3 linked regions of the Arabidopsis thaliana genome follow. The protein of the gene in region 2 interacts with the protein of the main gene of each other region in a pairwise test. Each region holds a gene or a part of one and is shown on either strand. Other genes may lie near its edges.

What was found.
Region 1: the proteins of NFD6 (region 2) and AT4G17680 interact in a two-hybrid assay, tested with the Arabidopsis thaliana proteins (one large-scale study listed by BioGRID).
Region 3: the proteins of NFD6 (region 2) and AT3G54390 interact in a two-hybrid assay, tested with the Arabidopsis thaliana proteins (one large-scale study listed by BioGRID).

What each region holds. Positions count from the first base shown.
Region 1 is NC_003075.7:9,840,808-9,847,931, forward strand, and holds AT4G17680 (SBP (S-ribonuclease binding protein) family protein), read right to left. Parts: upstream 3,528-7,124; 5' UTR 3,289-3,527; coding exon 3,191-3,288; intron 3,094-3,190; coding exon 3,023-3,093; exon of another isoform or gene 2,944-3,022; coding exon 2,693-2,943; exon of another isoform or gene 2,669-2,692; coding exon of another isoform or gene 2,621-2,668; coding exon 2,096-2,620; 3' UTR 1,803-2,095; downstream 1-1,802. Other genes in the region: AT4G17690 (Peroxidase superfamily protein), read left to right, coding at 5,320-6,300.
Region 2 is NC_003071.7:8,861,442-8,868,368, reverse strand, and holds NFD6 (nuclear fusion defective 6), read right to left. Parts: upstream 3,272-6,927; 5' UTR 3,148-3,271; coding exon 2,987-3,147; intron 2,712-2,986; coding exon 2,561-2,711; 3' UTR 2,277-2,560; coding exon of another isoform or gene 2,272-2,276; 3' UTR 2,022-2,271; coding exon of another isoform or gene 2,002-2,021; 3' UTR 1,796-2,001; coding exon of another isoform or gene 1,776-1,795; 3' UTR 1,594-1,775; downstream 1-1,593. Other genes in the region: AT2G20590 (Reticulon family protein), read left to right, coding at 1-40, 127-268, 355-424, 512-577, 709-831, 915-1,126; RPN1A (26S proteasome regulatory subunit S2 1A), read right to left, coding at 3,670-3,742, 3,835-4,013, 4,116-4,224, 4,315-4,400, 4,493-4,606, 4,696-4,755, 4,856-5,071, 5,151-5,264 and 6 more.
Region 3 is NC_003074.8:20,135,936-20,142,757, reverse strand, and holds AT3G54390 (sequence-specific DNA binding transcription factor), read left to right. Parts: upstream 1-3,513; 5' UTR 3,514-3,760; coding exon 3,761-3,789; exon of another isoform or gene 3,790-3,875; coding exon 3,876-4,410; intron 4,411-4,471; coding exon 4,472-4,846; 3' UTR 4,847-5,020; downstream 5,021-6,822. Other genes in the region: AT3G54400 (Eukaryotic aspartyl protease family protein), read left to right, coding at 159-602, 1,400-1,877, 2,112-2,467; SAC3C (SAC3/GANP/Nin1/mts3/eIF-3 p25 family), read left to right, coding at 6,006-6,243, 6,513-6,613.

The sequences.
Region 1 (7,124 bases), on a different chromosome or scaffold from region 2:
GTGTTATTTATGATAAAATAGATATTTTATTAATTTATATTATTTATATTTTATTTGTATTTTGCATAGTAAATAGGATTTTTGGATTTGTTTCGATTTGGCGGAATAATATAGAGATATTTGGAAAAATCTGTGTACTTTTGTTAGTTTGATGTATATATAAATTGATTGTTTTTGTTTAAAATTTGATCAATTAGATTATATAATGTAAAATTTACTCTGTGGTACACTGTTGGTCGATTTTTCTTGTAACTAAAAATTCAAATTTTAAGATATAGTTATTTTGTAAATATTGTTTATATTGTTTAATGTTTAAGATTGTATAATTATGTTATAATTATTAACTAAGATTTCACTCATAGATTATCGTCCCATATTAATATCAACCCAAACTCGTTCCACCATATAACTTCATTCCGTAAAATGAAAAATTATTTTGTTATTTTTAAATATTGTTATTGTAATATATAAAAAATCGAGAGATTGACATGTGGTACATCTTCGATTAATATATTTAAAAATAATTTGCGATTTATAAATTTATGATATTGTAGTATATAAAACCGATTTTTAGTGTATACCTTTCAATAAAATAGAGTTTTTATAATTAAAGTATAATAGTATTTGGTTTTTATATGGTTAGGTAATAGTATTTGGTTTATTATAAACTAATAAATTTGTTGATTTTAGTTAAAAATAAAAAATCAAATTAAGTAATATTTGTTTTGTTTATTTTTAAGATTGTATAACTATCATCTATTTTCTTGTAATCTAATGTTGATCCTGAAAGAAAAATCCATAAGAATACGCATAAATGGATAGTAATATTAGGAGATAAATATCATTAGAACATGAAGTAATTTACTTATGAATCTCTATCTATTGTTCGAAATAATCGATATTCTATATTGATTGTGAGGCAATGTGAATGTATGCATAACATTTATAATTATAAGAGATAGATTGTATGCAAAATTAGATTTTAATTTGGATTCAATCTTAGCTTTACTGAAAAAACTAAGATTATACACTTGTAGTTTGATTGTTAATTTAAGACTTTCACCTGTAGTATACCATCTTGTATTAATATCGATCTAAACCCGTCAATTTTACGATTTTCCAGCTTGTTAAAAATTGAATCACATCATACACATAAAAAATCTAATATCTTATTAATTATTGTAGTATATAAGATTATAATTTTTTAATATAATATGTATAAAATTGAATATAAATATTTCAAATTATGACCTGTTAACTCAGTAGAAAGTTTTCTTAAATCTATTTTCACCCGTTATAATATTTTTCATGTATTGAACAGTTTATATTCGTTTTTAAAAATTCAAATTATGGCATATGCGAAAAAACTCTAATTATTTTTTTATAATGATGATATTATTTTTTCGCAAAAATAGAATCATATAAAGATGAGAAGTGAACTATAATAATTAATAAAAAATTAATATGATAATTTAGATATCAAATCTAATTTGTTAATTTTAATTGTTTATTTTTTTGGAAATTAATAATGTATTTCGTTTTTCTAATTAAATTAAATTAATTAAAATTTAGATATCAAATCTTATATGTTGATTTTGATTGGTTATTGTTTTTGGAAATTAAAAATGTATTTCGTTTTTTAATTAAATTTAATTAATTAAATTAGTATTTGACTTTTTAATCCTTAAACAGATAAATTAATTTACTCTTTAAAATTTTATTTCTAATGGTATACCTATGTAATTATTTACAAAAAGTAAGGTTACATTTAAAATGTACTTCCCAAATAATATAGTAAGATTTCTAACGTAAATGAATTCAATTTTAGCAATTTCTTCAAAACGTTTTCTGAAAAAAAAAGCGAAGAATATCCAAAAGAAAGAAAGTAAACGAAGATGTCAAAACGAAAAAAATGCCACTACATGTGGCTATGTCCTATGTACATCATCAACTATATATAATTCAAATCTCATTTTCAATCTTTATTTTTGCCTATAGAAAACGTCCTTTTTCTGTACTGTTGTCTTGTTTGTTGCTTAGATCTGGATGGACCCATGGGCCTATAACGGGCCTATCAATTAAATACTCATCATCATCAAAATAAAACTTCGACACCGGAAGTCTTCACGGCGAGGCAAATCGGACAGACTCGCACTGCTCCGACGTCGCATCCATTACAAAGAATCAAATGTTGACACGGCAATGCCATCACCGTCGCAGATTTCCGCCGGCAAATCCTACAACTTGGTCCGATCAATTCGATCCGCTCCGGATCCACGTAAACCGATTCAGCGTCCTCTGCTTCTTCCGCGTCTCCGCCGTCTTCTCCGAACGTACTCTGTTTCGCCGCCGTATCTAGGCGGTTAGCTATGGCTTGTTGGAGATGAGCATGTAACGAGGACACCTCAGCTTCCCGCGTCGCCGCTCTTAACTGCCAGTTTCGCGCCTCTTCCACGATGTGAGCTACACGCGCTTCTAGCTCAGCGTGACGGCGCGTGGCTTTCTCCAACTCCGCTTCTTTTTTTCTCAATTTCCGTCCGACTATCTCCTCCGCAGCGCACAATAACTCTACGTAGCGTCTCTCTCTGTTATCCGCTAACGTACGCCGCAACTCTTCACCCTGCAAAATCAAATTATCAACACAAAGAAAAAACAAACCAAACCACATTTTAGGTCGAGTTTAATAAGACACCTGAGTCTGAATGAATCTGTCTAGTTCATCTCTTTGCCGTTTAATCTTTCCGGTAACATCTCCGGGAAGAGAAGAAAAAAACTGTTGTTGATTCTGTGACTGATCATGAAATAATCGAAGACCAGTGGAAACCACGTTAGGCGTTTTCTGCAACAACTCGGTTATATCAATAACTTGCGACGGTTTTGGAGGTGGAGGGTTCATCAGAGCCGATGAATAAACTTCTCTTGATCGTTTTCTTGAATCAACCCCTGTTTCAAAAACGGTGATGATTGAATGGAATTGAAGGAAAAAATTTGGAAACGATATGGGAATAATGAGAAGAGAGACCAGCTTTGGTGAAATTAGTGAAAGGAGTGTCTTGAGGCTGCAACGAACAATCACTAGCTTCTTGTCCGTTACTGTTCAATAAATTTTCATAAGAAATTGAAAACATCACATACATAATAAATACACAGGGCGTATACTATTACTATATGATTATATGAAGATTTTTACCTGTTGTTGAAGAAGAAACGTGAAGGATGCTGAGCTTGAATCGCCATTGAGCTATCAGAGAAGAGACCTATGCGTTCATTATCAGATAATAAGGGCATGCATGTGTGTTTGTGTATATGGGAAATGATGATGCTGATGATGATGAAAATGTATTGATTTTTTCAAGTATGAATTAAGAACTGAAAAAGAAAAGGAGAAAGAATGGGAGAAATAAATGGGGAAGATGAGGTTTTAGAGGGGAGGGGGACGAAAGGGTACAAAGACTTGTGGGTCTTTTTAAAGCTTTCAACATTATATGCATGATTCACACTAATGTTACCATTTTTTTTTTGCATCTACTTCTATTTTTTTCCTTAGTACTAGTACTCTTTCAATCATTCTTCAGTTGCAATATAGACTATATAGTATAATTTAGAGACTGAATCAAAATTAAAAGATGTGAACGATGTAACACTCTTCCCAAAGACCCTTCCAACCTAACTAAACCAAACCGTCTTTCAACCAAACTAATCCATTTTAGATCAGTCGATACATCACATATTTGCATGTTCCAGATGAATAATCTGTAGATGTATTCGTTAATCTTGTAGTACCTGAGGGTTTTAGCTACCTAACAATTTTCTTTTTCAATTTTTTTTTTTTGTTTTTTTTTTTCGTTTTAATTATAACTTAGATAGATCTTGGGCCAAAACCTAGATTATTATTACATGATGCATATAGTGAACCGAGTATTTCTTTTTTTTTTTCATTTAAGATGTTTACAATAACTAAATAAAAAGCTAACAATAGCGGTCCATAGTTTCATAGCAAAAAAAAAAAACAAAGAGAGAACAATAGCGGTCCATAGTTGGTTGGGATTCATATCTAGGTTTGATGTATAGGATAAATCCTTCACCACTCTTCCAATATAACCAATGTCCCAATTTTTGATATTATAAAAAGAAAACGGAGGAGTCGTCAATTATTGAAAGGTCTAGATCCATGTCGATGGCTAGATGCATATAAAGCATTAATGGATCGGACGTCATATATTCTTCAAATAAAAGGTATCAAATTAGATTATCCCTTGGTGCACTTCACGTTTCCTCATTGATATTATGCTTCACAGTTGCATATTATATATATGCTGGTGAGTCTTTTTCAAAACGATAAGCGACATACATATTCTAGCAAACAAACAATGTTCTACTTACCACATGATACATATAGGTACATAATGTTTCGTCATCAGTACACATTGCCATAGCGTATACATGAGATTACAAAAATTGAACTATATATAAAAAGAAAATCAAGCTTATCAAAATGTTTGGAGGAGTATGAAACATAATAATATATATAGGCATGATTTAATACTTTATAAACAGTAACACGTTAGCGAAAATTGATATCTAACAACAAATAATTTGGTTCTAGCATATGTTGGTCAGAAAGAATGGTAGGAATTTATATACTAATAAATGTCAACAAGATGACATAAAAATCTAGAAATGTGGTGGCAAGGTAAGCAACAAATTGATATAAGATGGATGGCATGTCCATTGTCAAGCAGTTGCATGATTTTAGTGGTCAGAACTCAGAAGTCAACATTTTTCTTAATTTTGTTTTTGTTTATATTTCAAATCAAGAGCAACATTAGATTAAGTAAAAGTTTGCTTGTATGTTTAGCCTATCAATTTAAATTTTCATATCTCTAACCATCAATAATGTTTTCTGTAGATGCTTTAGTTGATTAATCACCATTCCAAAATTCTTTCAAAAACAGGAGTAGTAATACAAAACAAATCAATTGAGTGATTAATCACCTTCACATTTCCCCAATTAGCATGCATTCCATGTTTGTGGTTTAATTAACCTAGAAGCCAATCGATTTTATAATGAATTAGTGTTAGAAAACGTTTCTAATGAAAAATGAAAGTAAAAACAAACTAAATATAGACCAATCACTGAAATAAAAAGAACATAACAAAAGCCAAACTCCAACCACACGTACATGCTTCTATATTTCACCGATAACAATTCAATAAAGAAGTCTACCTCATAGACATCTCTTTACATTTCAATTCCGTTTCCATATTTTACAAACAATATTTCTTTCACAAATCGATACGAGTCTCGTGAAATACACAATGTCTTCGGTTATAAATGTTCTCTTCGTCGTCCTAGTCTTTGTCCCGTCTATATACTCGGCACCACCACCAAATTTAACAAAAGATTATTACCAAAAAACATGTCCCGATTTCAATAAAATCGTACGTGAAACCGTTACACCAAAGCAAGGCCAGCAGCCAACGACAGCTGCTGGAACACTCCGTCTCTTTTTCCATGATTGTTTCATGGAAGGATGTGATGCTTCCGTCCTTATCGCTACAAATTCTTTCAACAAAGCCGAACGTGACGATGACCTCAACGAGTCGCTTCCGGGAGATGCATTCGACATTGTGACTCGCATCAAAACCGCTCTTGAATTGTCTTGTCCCGGGGTGGTGTCCTGCGCAGACATCCTGGCTCAGGCCACACGTGACCTTGTCACAATGGTTGGTGGGCCTTTCTATGAAGTCAAACTGGGCCGTAAAGATGGTTTTGAGTCAAAAGCCCATAAAGTCAAAGGAAATTTACCTTTAGCGAACCAATCCGTCCCCGACATGTTATCGATATTCAAGAAGAATGGTTTCACTCTAAAGGAGCTGGTTGCGTTAAGTGGCGGGCACACAATCGGATTCTCACACTGCAAAGAATTCAGCAACCGGATATTCCCGAAGGTTGATCCAGAACTCAACGCGAAATTCGCAGGAGTTCTTAAAGATCTATGCAAGAATTTCGAAACCAATAAGACGATGGCAGCATTTCTCGATCCGGTGACACCGGGAAAATTCGATAATATGTATTTCAAGAACTTGAAACGAGGTCTTGGACTGTTAGCTTCCGACCATATATTGTTTAAAGATCCTAGCACGAGACCGTTTGTAGAATTATATGCGAATAATCAGACGGCTTTCTTCGAGGATTTTGCACGTGCCATGGAGAAACTAGGCAGGGTTGGTGTTAAAGGCGAAAAAGATGGAGAAGTGAGACGTAGATGTGATCACTTCAACAAGCTTAACGTATAAGTAGCATAAACAGAAGAACATCATTGACTTCGATCGGTTTTCTTTGTATTTTTTTTTTAATAAATGTATTTATAAATAAGTAAGTTAATGTAACAATTTTGAGTGCCTAAAATTTACAAATAATCTTTGTTATATAGAGAGCATTAGATCTTACTTTATGGAGGAGAATACAAATTCAAGTTCTTGAGTTATTTCCCCATCATCTTCTTCTTTAAAACAAGTGTCTCCGTTTTAAGTGTTGTTGGCCAAACTTCGACGAATAAAGTCCAAATTGATTATTAAAACGGCTCAACTTGTGATAAGGCCTTTTCGCCGGTAAGTATTTTTCTTCATTTGCCACCATAAGATTATGATATTTGCGTTGTAGCTAGAAATAGCCTCCGATATTTTTACTGTTCAAATATACTTTTTTGCTATATTCATCTAAAGTATTTTTGATTTGACCAATCTAAAATTTTAGTAAAATATACTATATTTAAGTAAGATTATGTAATTACTACGTATTTTCATTATCATCATCGTATGCTTCATGTGTCTAAAGCTCTTGTTAAGGTTACCAATAAAAAGAATCTTCGTATGGTTGGTTAGTTTTCTTAACATTTGGAATTATGGATAGATTGTAATGTATTTCGTTTTATTCTCTTTTTTGGCTTTACTCAAAATGAATAATTAGAAGAAAAAATTAGTGAAAGTCTTCGTCGGGTCAACGTCACAAGTGTCAGACACGTGTCAGAGAACCATGTGTTAAGAAGTAAAGCAGTCCGATTTAGACACGTGGATGAGTCATAGCTTTGCATCGCTGTAATGATGACCAAATAATTTTA
Region 2 (6,927 bases):
TACTTTGCGGGTCCTTCTTGTCAAACACTCTTTGTCAAAGGTACATTTACTTCTGTGGTCTCTTTTGTTTGGCATTCTCCATAAGCTAATAGTTAGTGTGATCCTTCAATGTGTTGTTACTTTTAGGAAAAATGAAGACACAAAGAGAGCGTTCCATGTGAGTGAAGATGATGTCTTGCGCTCAGCTAGACGAGTGCTTCCTGCAACCAACTTTTTTATCTCGAAGACTAGTGAGCTTTTTTCAGGAGAACCATCAATGACACTCAAAGTAAACAAAATCAAATCAGTTTTGGTGATTGCTATGTGTTGGTGGTTTACTTGCCCTTTCATCTGCTGATTTTCTTTTTGTCACAGGTGACACCATTTCTGCTACTTGGAGCTGAGTATGGTCATCTCATAACACTGTGGAGGCTATCTGCATTTGGTAATTAACATTTGGAACATAAGCTGAAACATTGTTAAGCATGATAGGAATTGTGATGATGATATGTGTGTATGGTTACTGAAACAGGTTTCTTCCTCAGTTTCACCATCCCAAAGCTGTATTCATGTTACACGCATCAGATTAGCCAAAAAGGTGAAGAATAATGAATTGCACCCATTCACATATTGTCAATTGTGTTAGAATCAATAGTCAAGTGTTTGTAGATGTCTTTAACTGGTCCAATGGTTTAAATTCTTGAACTGGTTTGAGTTTCATTTGTGCAGTTGAAAGAGTGAAAACGAGAATAGGTGAAGCATGGGGAGTCTGCTCACACAAGAAGATCTTGGCTGGCTCTGCGGTGACAGCGTTTTGGAACTTGACGAGCATAAGAACCCGAATATTTGCAGGTAATTTACCTAACCAATGGTTGACAGAGTATTTGGTTTGCCTTGTATCAAAATATAACGTATACGTCTTTCATGTTCTGCAGTTTTTATCATCCTGGTGATATTTCGGTATAGGAGACAAAATCTACAGCTAACTCCCGAGGAAGTTGAGCCTGTTGAGAATGAGCAAGAAGAAGAAACACTCCCGCAGGAAGAAGAAACAGTTCCACAAGAAGAAGAAACAGTTCCACAAGAAGAAGAACAGACACAGCCATCAGAAGAGCGAGCTTTAGTGGTGGTGGTTGCAGAAACTTAAGGATCAAAGAAACTGTAGTGTTTGTACTTTGTATCAATCCACATTCAACAGAGATGTAATTCTATATCTCGAAAGGATCTGTTTTTTTAATATGAAAAATTAATGACAAAGAGATCCTTTAACAAAGCTGCCCATTCAAGTCGTGAATCTTTGGCAGAGAATACAATGTTTCATAAGATCCAAGGGACAAGAAGAAGAAACTTGAAACCTTCTTTCAAGTTTAAGGGTCGACAAGTTAATGTGCCAATTTGATTGCCAAATCTGCTACTTTTTCCCTACTTATTTTGATGAGATTCTTGATTATATATATATATATATATATATATATATATATATATATATATATATATATATATATATATATATATATATTTGGTAGAATCTTGATTATAATTTATAGTATTCAAACTCATGGATGTTTCCAAGTTTTAAATTAGTAGAAGTGATGCAATTTTGTTGAGTTTGTATGTTGATGTAATAGAAATCATAGAGATTTGATTCAAAAGATATTGGACATTTGTCTTTGATATGAAAACTAAAGACAAAGAGATGATTTGTGTTTGAACAGTACAACAATTATTCTTTGCCTAAATACTCTTAAACCTTCTCTCGCAATCAACAATCTCGCATTGGGTACGCGTAGACATCATCAAAAGTCCTCTTTGCAAGCTGATAAATTATACCAAACATCAGTTACTCGTCCAACCAATACAACATGTCTTACTTAATAGGCTGAAAACAAAGAAAAGCTCTCCAAGAAACTCAGAAACAAAATTAAGAGGGTTTTCGTTCCTAAGTTTTTCTAAAGAAGAAGGCTTTAAAAGGTAGAGGTTTTGTACATAAACTGTAGCTTCATTGTTCCTCTGGCTAACTCATCACACATCATCATTGCAAGCTGGGAGTATAAGACCAATCAGTAATAACTCAAATGCTATAACCAACAAGAAAAGAAGACACGTTTCCGGGTACATGTATTTTTTTTAAGAAGATATGTAAGAACCAGTTCTTTTAAAACACAATGCAGCATCAACCATTGCTTGATGTGTATCTAAAGCCTATCTTATTGCCTGAAACCCGTTCTAATCGTTTATATTATTTGCATGAAAACCCAGATCTTGGCTTCGTTGTCTCCATCTACACTTGTGTCAGCCTACAAGATCGAAAAACTAGACCAATTGAGCCGCTATCTCTTTACAACGTTAAGCAGAAAGACAACAACAACTGATCCAGTTTTTCGCCATAGCAACAACCAAAAAGAATCTACACTGATCGAGAAAGCTTCTTAAATGGCAAAATCTAAACTAGTTCTCTACCTATGTCTAATACAACAATCTAGAAAGCCAATACAGAAACAGCTCTCAAACACATTTCATCAATCAAACAAAGCATATCTCCACTCAATATTTAGTACATATTTAAGCCATTATTCAAGCATTACAAAATTGAAGGATGTGAGAAAGTACCGTCAGAGAGCCAGCCATAGGTTTGGCCAGAGATAGAAAGCTTTGAAGTCATTAGCGCTGAAGCTGTAGCCGAGTGATATGGTAACAATGACTCCACACAGAAGCTCAGTTCCACAGGATTTCTATTCACATCAAAAACAAACAAAAATGCAAATTCTTTTAAGTAATGTGATAAGAGAGTTTCACATTTAAAATCAACATCAAAATGCAAAATTTCATCTTTTTTACTTGTGAATAATCGATCTGGAAACATGATTAACGCAAAAATGTAATTTTTACATAGAGAAGTTCCTTCTTTTTTTTCACAATTCGATCGAATTTAACCCATTTCAAGCTTCAAGTAGCACAAAACTGTGAAATGAGCTCAAATAAGGAAATGGGTATGAGAGAGACTAACCGGAGAGGAGAAAGCAGTGGGCTTCTTCTGGCAGTGGCTCTAAACAATGGTGGAGCGGATTTCGCTTGAGAGGCGAAGCGGCCAGTAGAAGCAGCGGCGCTGCGTGAGGAAGCAGCTCGAAGCATCGATCTGGCACCGGAGAGGACGGCGGACGTGGCCATCAGGAGAGAGAATTGAAGAGAAGATCAAAAACTACGGCTGCGAGAGAGAAGAAGAGAGAATGCTGAAGCCTGAACTCCGATTACGATTACGGGAAATGATGATAAACCCTATAAACGCGATCTTAGTTTGGACGAAACCTTAGTCTTTTGTTATAAACGCGATCGCAACACTTTTGGGCCAAAGGAAAGCCCAATTTCATTTGTGCGTCTTTGAACGGCACTATGCAAGTGGCTAACATTTCTTCACTTTTTTTATGTGATCAAAGTAATTGGAAAATTTTATGGATCGTTATTTTTTAAACTGAGTCAATATTGGTTTTGGCAAGAATATGTGTCGACTTGGTGGCGATTAAAAAAAAAAAAAAAAAAAAGAGACTAAAGTTTATATAACTAAAAGCGTCAGGTCATACAAAGATCCCAAGATAATGAAACAAAGCTTAAACGGAGAGTAGAAAAACCATGAGATAATAGACGAAATAGTAAAACTAGTGACAACTGGCTGGAAGCAGAAGCTCTCTCTCTTCACTCCTCTCTGTAGTCTGGGTTCTCCTTTAAGATGATGAATCCTTCTAGTATTGGCGACAGAGGAATGTATCTGTTTGCCAGTTACAAATCCGAGTTTTATAATCAGACACCTAAGTAGGCAACATAAAGGGTACAAGGAAGAAAGGAAAAAGAATAACATACTTGTCCGTGGCTAGTTCGGCTCTCTCTCCAGCAGCCAGGAGAACAGGTGTGGAGTGTGTCTGGAAACCGGTTATGGTCTTGGGCCGACCCGCTTGCCCAACCACATCAACTGCTTGTCCTACCCGCACTGGCACTGACAGTGGCTTCAGGTTTTCATCCACTGTCAACATCATCCTTGGCTATACATTTTTTTAACAAAATTTGATTAAATATCAAATCATAGCAAGTTCATCAGACCTAACTAACAAGAGGGAGAAACACAGGACAGAAGTTGAACTCACTTGCATCGCCAAAACGAGGAAGTACAGCACATAATGGTACTTCCCGAGTATGATTGGTTTCATGTCAAGGCATGCATGCAAAAGTGTCACTATACCAGCAAGTGCGGTTCTGCATAAATAAGGTCCGCATGAGAAACCTTTGAACATCCAACTATCAAAAAAGATTTGGTTCTATTGGTGACAAAAAGAATGAACTTACGGCGATAGCAAGAACCGTTCAGAGTGGAAGGGGCTGAGTGTCAAGAGACCCTTTCCCATGTGCACAAGCCCTTGAGCAATACGCACCTGCATAATGACTTACCAAGTTAGTTACAATAATTCCAACAAGAACAACAGCTTACCGCAGGGTACAGAAACCAAAATGAGGAACACATTACACAGAAGAGAAGACTCATGTCTTTGTAATAATAGCTGGAGAGGTTCCGAAGCATCCCGGCTATCCTTGCGTTATTAGTTCCAGCGCCAATCAGTCCCAATGATATAATTGCTGACTGTACGAGTCAAAAGAAAGATCAGTCCTCTCTCAATACTATTCAGCTAAATAATATGGGACAGGCTATGAAGCGAAATGATTGCTAACCATGGCAACTTCCGAATCTGTGTCATGGCTAAGCCGGCTCAAGGTGTCCATTACAGTCACCTGGAATTGTGGGAAAAATATTAAAAACCCAGTATTACTCTAGACGCCCACTAATAATTGTAAGCAGGTGCAGTAAAACTACATTTACAAAAGTATTTACCTTTGGATTGGATATACAAAGGAGACCAAGGGCCAAAGGCACAGCACGCCGAATGTTTTGTTCTCCGTATTGTAGCATCCGCTCCAGAGAACGGATCTCCATATCAACTCCCAGTTCTTCAGACATAGCAACCATTGCTAACCCAAGCACAGCTGGACCCTGGTGGATGTCACCTTTCTCAAGATGCTCGCCACACTGAGCAAGAAGGTCTTGTACCTGAAAATATAAGTAGGAGTCAACAACTAAACAAGTAATGAATTATGTCACTCAACCACCAGCACAATTGATTAGATACCTTTAGGACATTTCCAGTTCCAGCATAAGCACAAGAAAGAAGTGTCATATCACAATACTTTCTAATCTTCTCATTGAAGGTCTTCGAAACTTCAGCTGTAGCCTCTACACTTTCCTGGTAGATATTGGAACAAGTTGATGTTGGTCAAGCAATGCAAATAATGATATACGAACAAAGAGCGAGATTATGTAAAACACATTGCTAACCTGTTTGCCCAGGTATAGAAGTCCAAGACCAAGTGGCAAGAAACGAGTGAGGGCATCACCCAGTTCTGCCTCACTTCGATCCATCAAAGCAAATATAATAGACTGGGCTACTTCTTCGTTACAGGAACCAACATATATCATTCCCAAAGAAAGTGAAGCAAATGCAATCACATCAAGAGGCGCTTTTGCATCATTCAGTATCGGGGACAATTTGTTTCGAATCTGTTGAAACAGTGTACGTGTTAAAGTTTTGTGAACACCCGAAACATTCAAGTAGTAATATGGGAAAGAATATAACAAGTACCTGGTCATTTTGGGAACCTGCGTATGAAATTCCAAGACCCATGATAGCACCGATTCTGACAGATGAATCCTCTTTGTCTATATAGTCTCCAAGAAGTGCCAATGCCTGAGAAATAAGGCTGAGTAAGATGGAAGAGTGGCTGCAAATATTAGCACAAATGGTCCCAGCAAAATCAAACACGACAGCAACTCACAGGATCACAATCGTTCTTAATGCCACAATTTACAATCCCAACTCCCAGCAGTGCTCCAGCAATGATAGGATTATCATTACTATGGAAATATTTGTCGAGTTGGGAAAGTCCAGAGTCCACATCCCACAGTTGAATCATACCCTATATGATAGGGAAACAAAAAGATCTGGTTACAATTCTTACTTCCATGATCTGAGCACAGTAAATAAATTCATCAAATAAGAAAAAGTATACCAGACTAGCAGCTGCACTAGTCTTGCCATGTTCTTTATTTTTGAAGAGCCAGTTTCCAGAAGATCCGGTGGTTGAGTCTGAAGGTACTGTCATTAGTTTGTCCTGCGATAAGCAAATATATTAAGAGGACACGTCTTCCACTAGATCTATTTTATTATAATCTGCAACCATACCTGACCAAAACCAGCATTTACGAATGCATTGACAAAGGTAGCAGCCAAATTCTGTCTAGCAGAATCCACGCTTGCACCGGAGCTAGCCCTGCCGTCGAGTAAGTGAGCCTATAAAATTCAAAAAGGGCAGGTCAAAGACTGAGGGAAACATAATTTGTAACTAAATAAATGAGTAGCAAGCCTAACACATTAAAACTGATTTACCTTGTAGATGTCTTCAGGCGTTTTGGCCTCCATGACCTCAATATCCCTTGCAAGGGTCAGATATCCTTCACTTAACTTAGTGTTGTTAACAATATCCTGTAGGGCTTCCCGGTCATCATCATCTGCAACCATCTCATCGTCAAGTTCAAAGGTTATACCCTGCAGGGAGGCATACGACGAGAGGAGAAGTATAAGAAAGTATGTCAATCGGGTATTGTGTCTCTAAATGAATGGAAATTTTAAACAGCGATGCAGCAGTTAATCTGTGTGTGCCTTAGAAGAGAATAGGAGGAGGCCAGTGTCGCTAAAGAATGAGGTCTTCCCAGAAAAACAATACAAAATTGGACTAAAAATAATGTTCAAGAAACATATTTAAATTCCCTCTAGATCATGCTGAATTACAACTACAAACTATGTTCTCATTTTTTTTCTGCTAACTTTATGTAACAGCTGGAAAGTAAAA
Region 3 (6,822 bases), on a different chromosome or scaffold from region 2:
GACTGTTCTCTCTACGATATACAAAACCCCACTCTTCATTTTTATATTCTTATTACTTTCTACACACTCATCGTATATCACTCACTATATAAACACACACTCACACATTCACTCTACAAACACTAGAAACCACAAAGACAAAATCAAGGTCTTAAACAATGAGATCCCATCTCTTGATTTTGTTAATCTCTCTCTTAATCTTGAAATCTGAATCCATAAACTGCAATGAAAAGAGCCATTCCTCAGATCTAAGAGTGTTCCACATTAACAGTCTATGTTCTCCATTCAAAACTTCTGTTTCATGGGCAGATACACTTCTTCAAGATAAGGCTCGTTTCCTATACTTGTCAAGCCTCGCTGGCGTTAGGAAATCATCAGTTCCAATCGCCTCTGGTCGGGCCATCGTTCAGAGCCCGACTTACATCGTGAGGGCTAACATCGGGACACCGGCTCAGCCCATGCTCGTGGCTCTTGACACTAGCAATGACGCTGCTTGGATTCCTTGTTCTGGCTGCGTTGGCTGTTCTTCCTCTGTTCTCTTTGACCCTTCCAAGTCAAGCTCCTCTCGTACTCTTCAATGCGAAGCTCCTCAGTGTAAACAGGTAACTAAATATTGCTTTATAGTTATACCCTCCGTATAAATTAGATATGTGCATGCATTCTCTGGATGGACTTGAAAAATGAAAACTATACTCAACGTAATTTTTTTGAATCATATCATACATTCATACTTAACGATACTTTTGTACTGAATAAACCGGGAAAATCGATATACAAAAAATACATTTAAATTATACTAACAAATAATTCGCATTTTTACTTTGTTCAAAACAAGATCTAATCAGAACATACATAAATGTTTCAAATCGAAAGAAAAAAAATGGTTAGTATTTGGACTTGATTATTTTTAACAAAACAAGAAATTTAAAACCAAAACCGAAATACGAACCGAATGTCAGGCGTAATGTGAATGCCTCTACGTCAATTTTTGGATCCATCTACACAAAAGATGTGAATGTGAACTTCGTTTTTGGCGTGTTATTACACCATGATCGAGAAGTCTAGTCACGGGTTTTGGACCTTTTGGTACCATGAGTCTAAGTCACGGGTATATTATTATTTATACAAGAAATTTATAAACAATCCAACTAGTAGAGCATATTTTACTGTTTGAACTTTGATCTATATATATACTTTGTCGTCATGCTAGTTAGGTTTTGCCTATAATACAAAAACGCCACTTACAACTGCAATTAAATAACGTAACACATCGTTAGTAGCGCAATTTAATAACCAGATCCAAGATGGATAAAACAATTCTTTATGGAAATACGTTGTTAAACTCAAAGAACAAAAAAAATTCTAAATATTAATCAATAAAGAGTTTTTTTTATTGCAGGCTCCAAATCCAAGTTGCACAGTAAGCAAATCATGTGGTTTCAACATGACCTACGGTGGTTCAACCATCGAAGCATATCTGACACAAGACACACTAACATTGGCCAGTGACGTCATCCCAAACTACACCTTTGGGTGCATCAACAAAGCTAGTGGAACATCGTTGCCAGCGCAAGGACTCATGGGCTTAGGTCGTGGTCCATTGTCTTTAATCTCACAGTCACAAAATCTTTATCAGTCTACATTCTCGTATTGCTTGCCTAATAGTAAGTCCAGCAATTTCTCCGGATCACTAAGATTGGGACCTAAGAACCAACCGATCCGGATCAAGACCACTCCATTGTTAAAGAACCCTAGAAGATCATCGCTTTACTATGTTAACTTGGTTGGGATTCGTGTCGGAAACAAAATTGTGGATATTCCTACAAGTGCACTCGCCTTTGATCCGGCCACCGGAGCCGGCACCATCTTTGACTCGGGTATGGACTTCTCAACCCTCCTTAATATTTTTTATTTTTCGCTTGAGAACTGAAAAGTCGTGCGATGGAAGTAACCTAATTGCTCTGCTCTCTCACACGTAACACGTGATATTTCTGGACTAAAAATGATTTTACAATCAAAACAAAAATGGCCAATCCAAATTTTCATATAAAAATTATATTTTAGAAAAGAAATTTGATTTTTAATTACAAAACACTTTTGAATGTACGCAGGGACGGTCTACACAAGGCTAGTCGAACCAGCTTACGTGGCGGTGAGAAACGAGTTCAGGAGACGTGTTAAGAACGCAAACGCAACTTCACTAGGAGGTTTCGACACATGCTACTCCGGCTCCGTCGTGTTCCCGTCGGTGACGTTTATGTTCGCCGGAATGAACGTGACTCTGCCTCCAGACAACCTTCTCATCCACAGCTCCGCAGGTAACCTCAGCTGCCTCGCCATGGCTGCAGCTCCGGTCAACGTTAACTCTGTCCTTAACGTCATCGCTAGTATGCAGCAACAGAACCACCGAGTTCTCATCGACGTTCCAAATTCCAGGCTCGGAATTTCCCGTGAAACTTGCACCTAAGTTTTATCGATTTGTATTTTTGTTTTCGGTCGATTTCGTAATGCGTTTTGAACTTTTGAATTTTGGAAACTATATAAGTTAATGATTTTTGTTAATTCTCAAACGATTGTAAAATCTTTCGTATGATTTTCTTTCGATGTTCTCTGTTCAAAAAGGATTGTACTCATGAATTTGCGGATGCAATAAGCCTGGAACAGAGGACCTTTATTATTTTAAATATATATATGTTCCAACTTCCAAGTATAATCATATGCATCAACTTCATGAGAAAGTACCAAAATGTCAACAAAAAATGATTATGCCTTGGAAGGCATTTTCATCACCCAAATGAGACTGAGAAGTTCTAAATGGCGCGTTAAAAATCTACGATGATAATCTTGTAGACCCCAAAATGTCCGATGTGCTGCCTTGAAGTTGCATAGTTCATCATACTCCACTAACGAGGAAACACATTCACTCTTACAACAAAACTTCTCTCATATAGGTAAGAAAAAAGGTGTGAAAATTAAAGACTTGTCCTAATATTTGGTACTTGTAATATTTGGATGACTTGATAATTAACCAAAGATTTTAGTGAACACTAACCCACAAAATTTCTGAATGTTTTGAAAGATATACACTTTCAATAAGTGAAAAAGGAACAACCCCGAATTAGTATCTTTGCGCAAACATGAGAGAAGAAAAAGAGTGGAACATAGAATGGGTGAGAGAGTGACAAGTGTAAACCCCACTTCCATTAGGTTCATTCCCATCTTTGCCAAATGGATTTTGCGGTTTGGCTTGACATCAACGCTAACAGCCAGACTCACTCCACCATACACCTAAAAAGAGAAAAAAAGCATACAAAAAGGCTTTTATAGCTAAATGAATAAAAGCATTTGCATCAGAAGATTTTTGAAATCATTATTGTGAAAAAATAAAATCAAAAGTAAAACCTTTTTTCAAGTTGACAAATAAAAGAAAAGAAACCCTATTTTTCAATGGTAACCCACTTTCTCACATTTTTCTCTTTATTCTCCTCTATAGTATGTGTGTGTGACGGGTTGCTCCACTAACTTTTGTGAAGGTAAGTATAAAGCCGGTGCAATTATGCGTTTCTCTGTTTGTATTTGTAATCTTTATACAAACCATAAATTGGAACAAAGACTAAAATGACAGTAACAATATAAGTGAAAAACATAATTTCATTAGCTTTAAGTCACGAGGCACGACCATTGAACATGCGAGAAACGCGTGTACCCAAACTCATTGGTTAGTTTTGAGAGCAGCAGCGTATTCTTACACAGTTCTCATATGTTTAACTCCATTCACTCTCTCAAAAGGTTCCCATCTTTATCAAAAGACTTGCTAAAATCTTCTCTTTCTTTCTCCTTTCATCACACTCTTGAGTCCTTGTCTCTGTTTTTAGTCACCTGAAGAAAAAATATATGGAGAACGGAGAATCTAACCAAGAAAATCTCAAATCTCTCAACCACGACGAATCGCTTAAGAAGCCATCTGCTTCCTCCGTCGTTGTAGATAGGTTAAAACGTGATGAATGGAGCGAAGGAGCTGTTTCGACTTTACTCGAAGCTTATGAGTCAAAATGGGTTCTCAGAAACAGAGCCAAGCTTAAGGGACAAGACTGGGAAGACGTGGCTAAACACGTGTCCTCACGCGCCACTCACACCAAGTCACCAAAGACTCAGACTCAGTGCAAGAACAAGATCGAGTCCATGAAGAAACGGTACCGTTCTGAGTCCGCTACTGCTGATGGCTCCTCTTGGCCTCTTTATCCTCGTCTTGATCATCTCCTACGTGGAACTCAGCCTCAGCCTCAGCCTCAAGCTGTTCTGCCTCTGAATTGCTCTGTTCCTCTGCTCTTACTTGAGCCGCCGTTGCCTGCGGTGGCTCATCCGCCGCAGATTTCTTACGGATCCAACGGCGTCGGCAAGATTCCTAAGGTCTGATCACCTAAACTAACCAAATTTGGGAGATTTTCTAATGAAGTTATTTTGTGTGTAGGAAGACGGATTCAAGCCGGAGAACAAACCGGAAAAAGATGCGGAGATGGATACAGACAGTAGTACGCCTGTGGTTAAAACGAAGGTGAGAGGGAAGAAAGTGAAGAGAAGATATAAAGAAGAGAAGGAAGAGATCGCCGGAAGTATACGGTGGTTAGCGGAGGTGGTGATGAGATCAGAGAGAGCAAGAATGGAGACGATGAAAGAGATAGAGAGAATGAGAGCTGAAGCTGAAGCTAAGAGAGGAGAATTGGATTTGAAACGGACGGAGATAATGGCGAATACTCAGCTAGAGATTGCTAGAATCTTTGCTGCTGCAGCTTCTTCTGGACAGAACAAAGGTGTTGATTCTTCATTAAGGATCGGAAGAAATTGAGTTCTGCTTTTTATATTGGAGACTCAAGATGTTGTGTGTACATACCAAGTGTTGTTTTGTCAAAATTTCTCAGAGAGAGACCAATAATTGTTTCCTGGGGTAGATGGCGATTTCCACATTTCTACCAGCAAATGTATGCTTTTGCCATATGAATATCATCAATCTTTAGTCAAAGAGATGCTAATACTGTCTCAAATTTGTGTGTGTTTAAGTGTTTTAACTCTTCAGGTAGAGATTTACAGAGAATGCTTGGTAGATAGTTCGGTTCGATCAGTTTGGTCGTGTTAGAGATTGTAGTGAAAGAGAAAATAAGTCTTAGCAAAAGAATGCGAGACAACTGTCTAGTATTAGTGGAGATGAACCAGCTTTTTCTCTTTGCATTTCTAATATGGAGTTTTTTTTGGATGGGAAATTGCACTATGATAGTATGATTAGTGGTTCTAGTCTATGTGTTTTGAATGTTAGCAGTTAGATTCTTGTTAGGGATAGTTGATGAAAAGAAACCTAAATTTGTAGTGGTGGACACATTGTTCTCTGCTGTCTAGAGAGTGGCCGTGACTACTAGACCCACCAACCGGCCTAAGCTTGCCTGTATAGGGGTGGGAAAAAATAGAATAACACCAAAAATGAAATGCTCAAATGACAAAATCAAAATTGATTTCCTTCAAATATATCTAACTAGACTATTGTTTGTAAAAAAACAAAACAGAACCGAATCGTAATTGCACAAATGACTAAACCATATATTCTTCCCAAAAAAAAAAGACCAAACCGTATACGAAAGGTTTGATTTGGTATCGATTTAAAAAGAAAATCTGCAAAACCGGAAAGAAAAACAAAACAAAACTTAAAATCAAATTTTCCAAAACTATATATGTAAATTACAAAGTGTAGGGAAATGTGAAATGTTCTAGATTCTTACTTGAGTTGAATTTTGAATGCTGCATTTGTAGAAATGCAAATTTGTGTACAAGTCAGAACCGGTGTAAATTAAATTGACCCGGTTGCCGCCAGATTTAATTCGCTGAGAGTACTGTACCGGATTTGGTTCTCTTCCGGTTTATTCCAAATAATAGTTCGGTAACAGCTTTGATTGGTTCGTTTCTTCAGAGTCTGGTTTGGGACTTGGGAGGGAAGAAGATCTCGTTCCCTCTAAGCCATGAATCGTCGTAATCGTGGCTCTTCTTCTTCTTCTTCTAGGGTTTCGAATACTTATGGGAACCGCCAGTTCTCTGATAACCCGAGGACTGGATCCGGCGGCGGAGTTAATGAATCCTTTCAGAGAAGATCCGATGCACCGCACAAACGAAACAATGAAAAAGACGAATCAAAACATAAAGACGAAGATCCTGCTGACGTTTCATTGATTGTAGGAACTTGTTCTTCTATGTGCCCAGGTAATCATCGAACTACGTTAGCTGCAGATAAATTACCAATTGACCTGAGATTCCGCTAAAATTCAACCCTATCCTGCACCTGAATTGGATTTGATCTAGTTCTTAGGTCAATTAGGTACTTTCCCTTCATCAATTCATGATCCTTCCGTGCATCGGCAGTTCAGAACAAAGAATTATCTTTTGCTAGGGGTTTAGGTAAAAAATTACACTTGAAGTACCAAAAAGAGTGTGTACAGCTTCATCTAATATGTTGTTTTTGGTATCAATAGAGAGGGAAAGAGTCACAAGAGAACGCCTGCGTGATCTTGCAGTGTTTGAGAGGCTTTATGGAAACCCCTCAAAATCATCCACAGAGATAGCTGTCAAAAAGGTGCGGTTCACATTGTACAGCTTTGAGTTTTCATGTCTCTGGTGCTAATGTGGGAAACTTTCACCTTCAGCTTTCTATATTTGACATGTCGTATCTATTCTTCGAGAGAACTTGTTATTGAAAGAAATTTGATGTTGAAATTCTTCATCTATGCAAATTAGAATCCATAACTTATTGGTCAAGATGAATAGTTTGTACTACTTATTGGG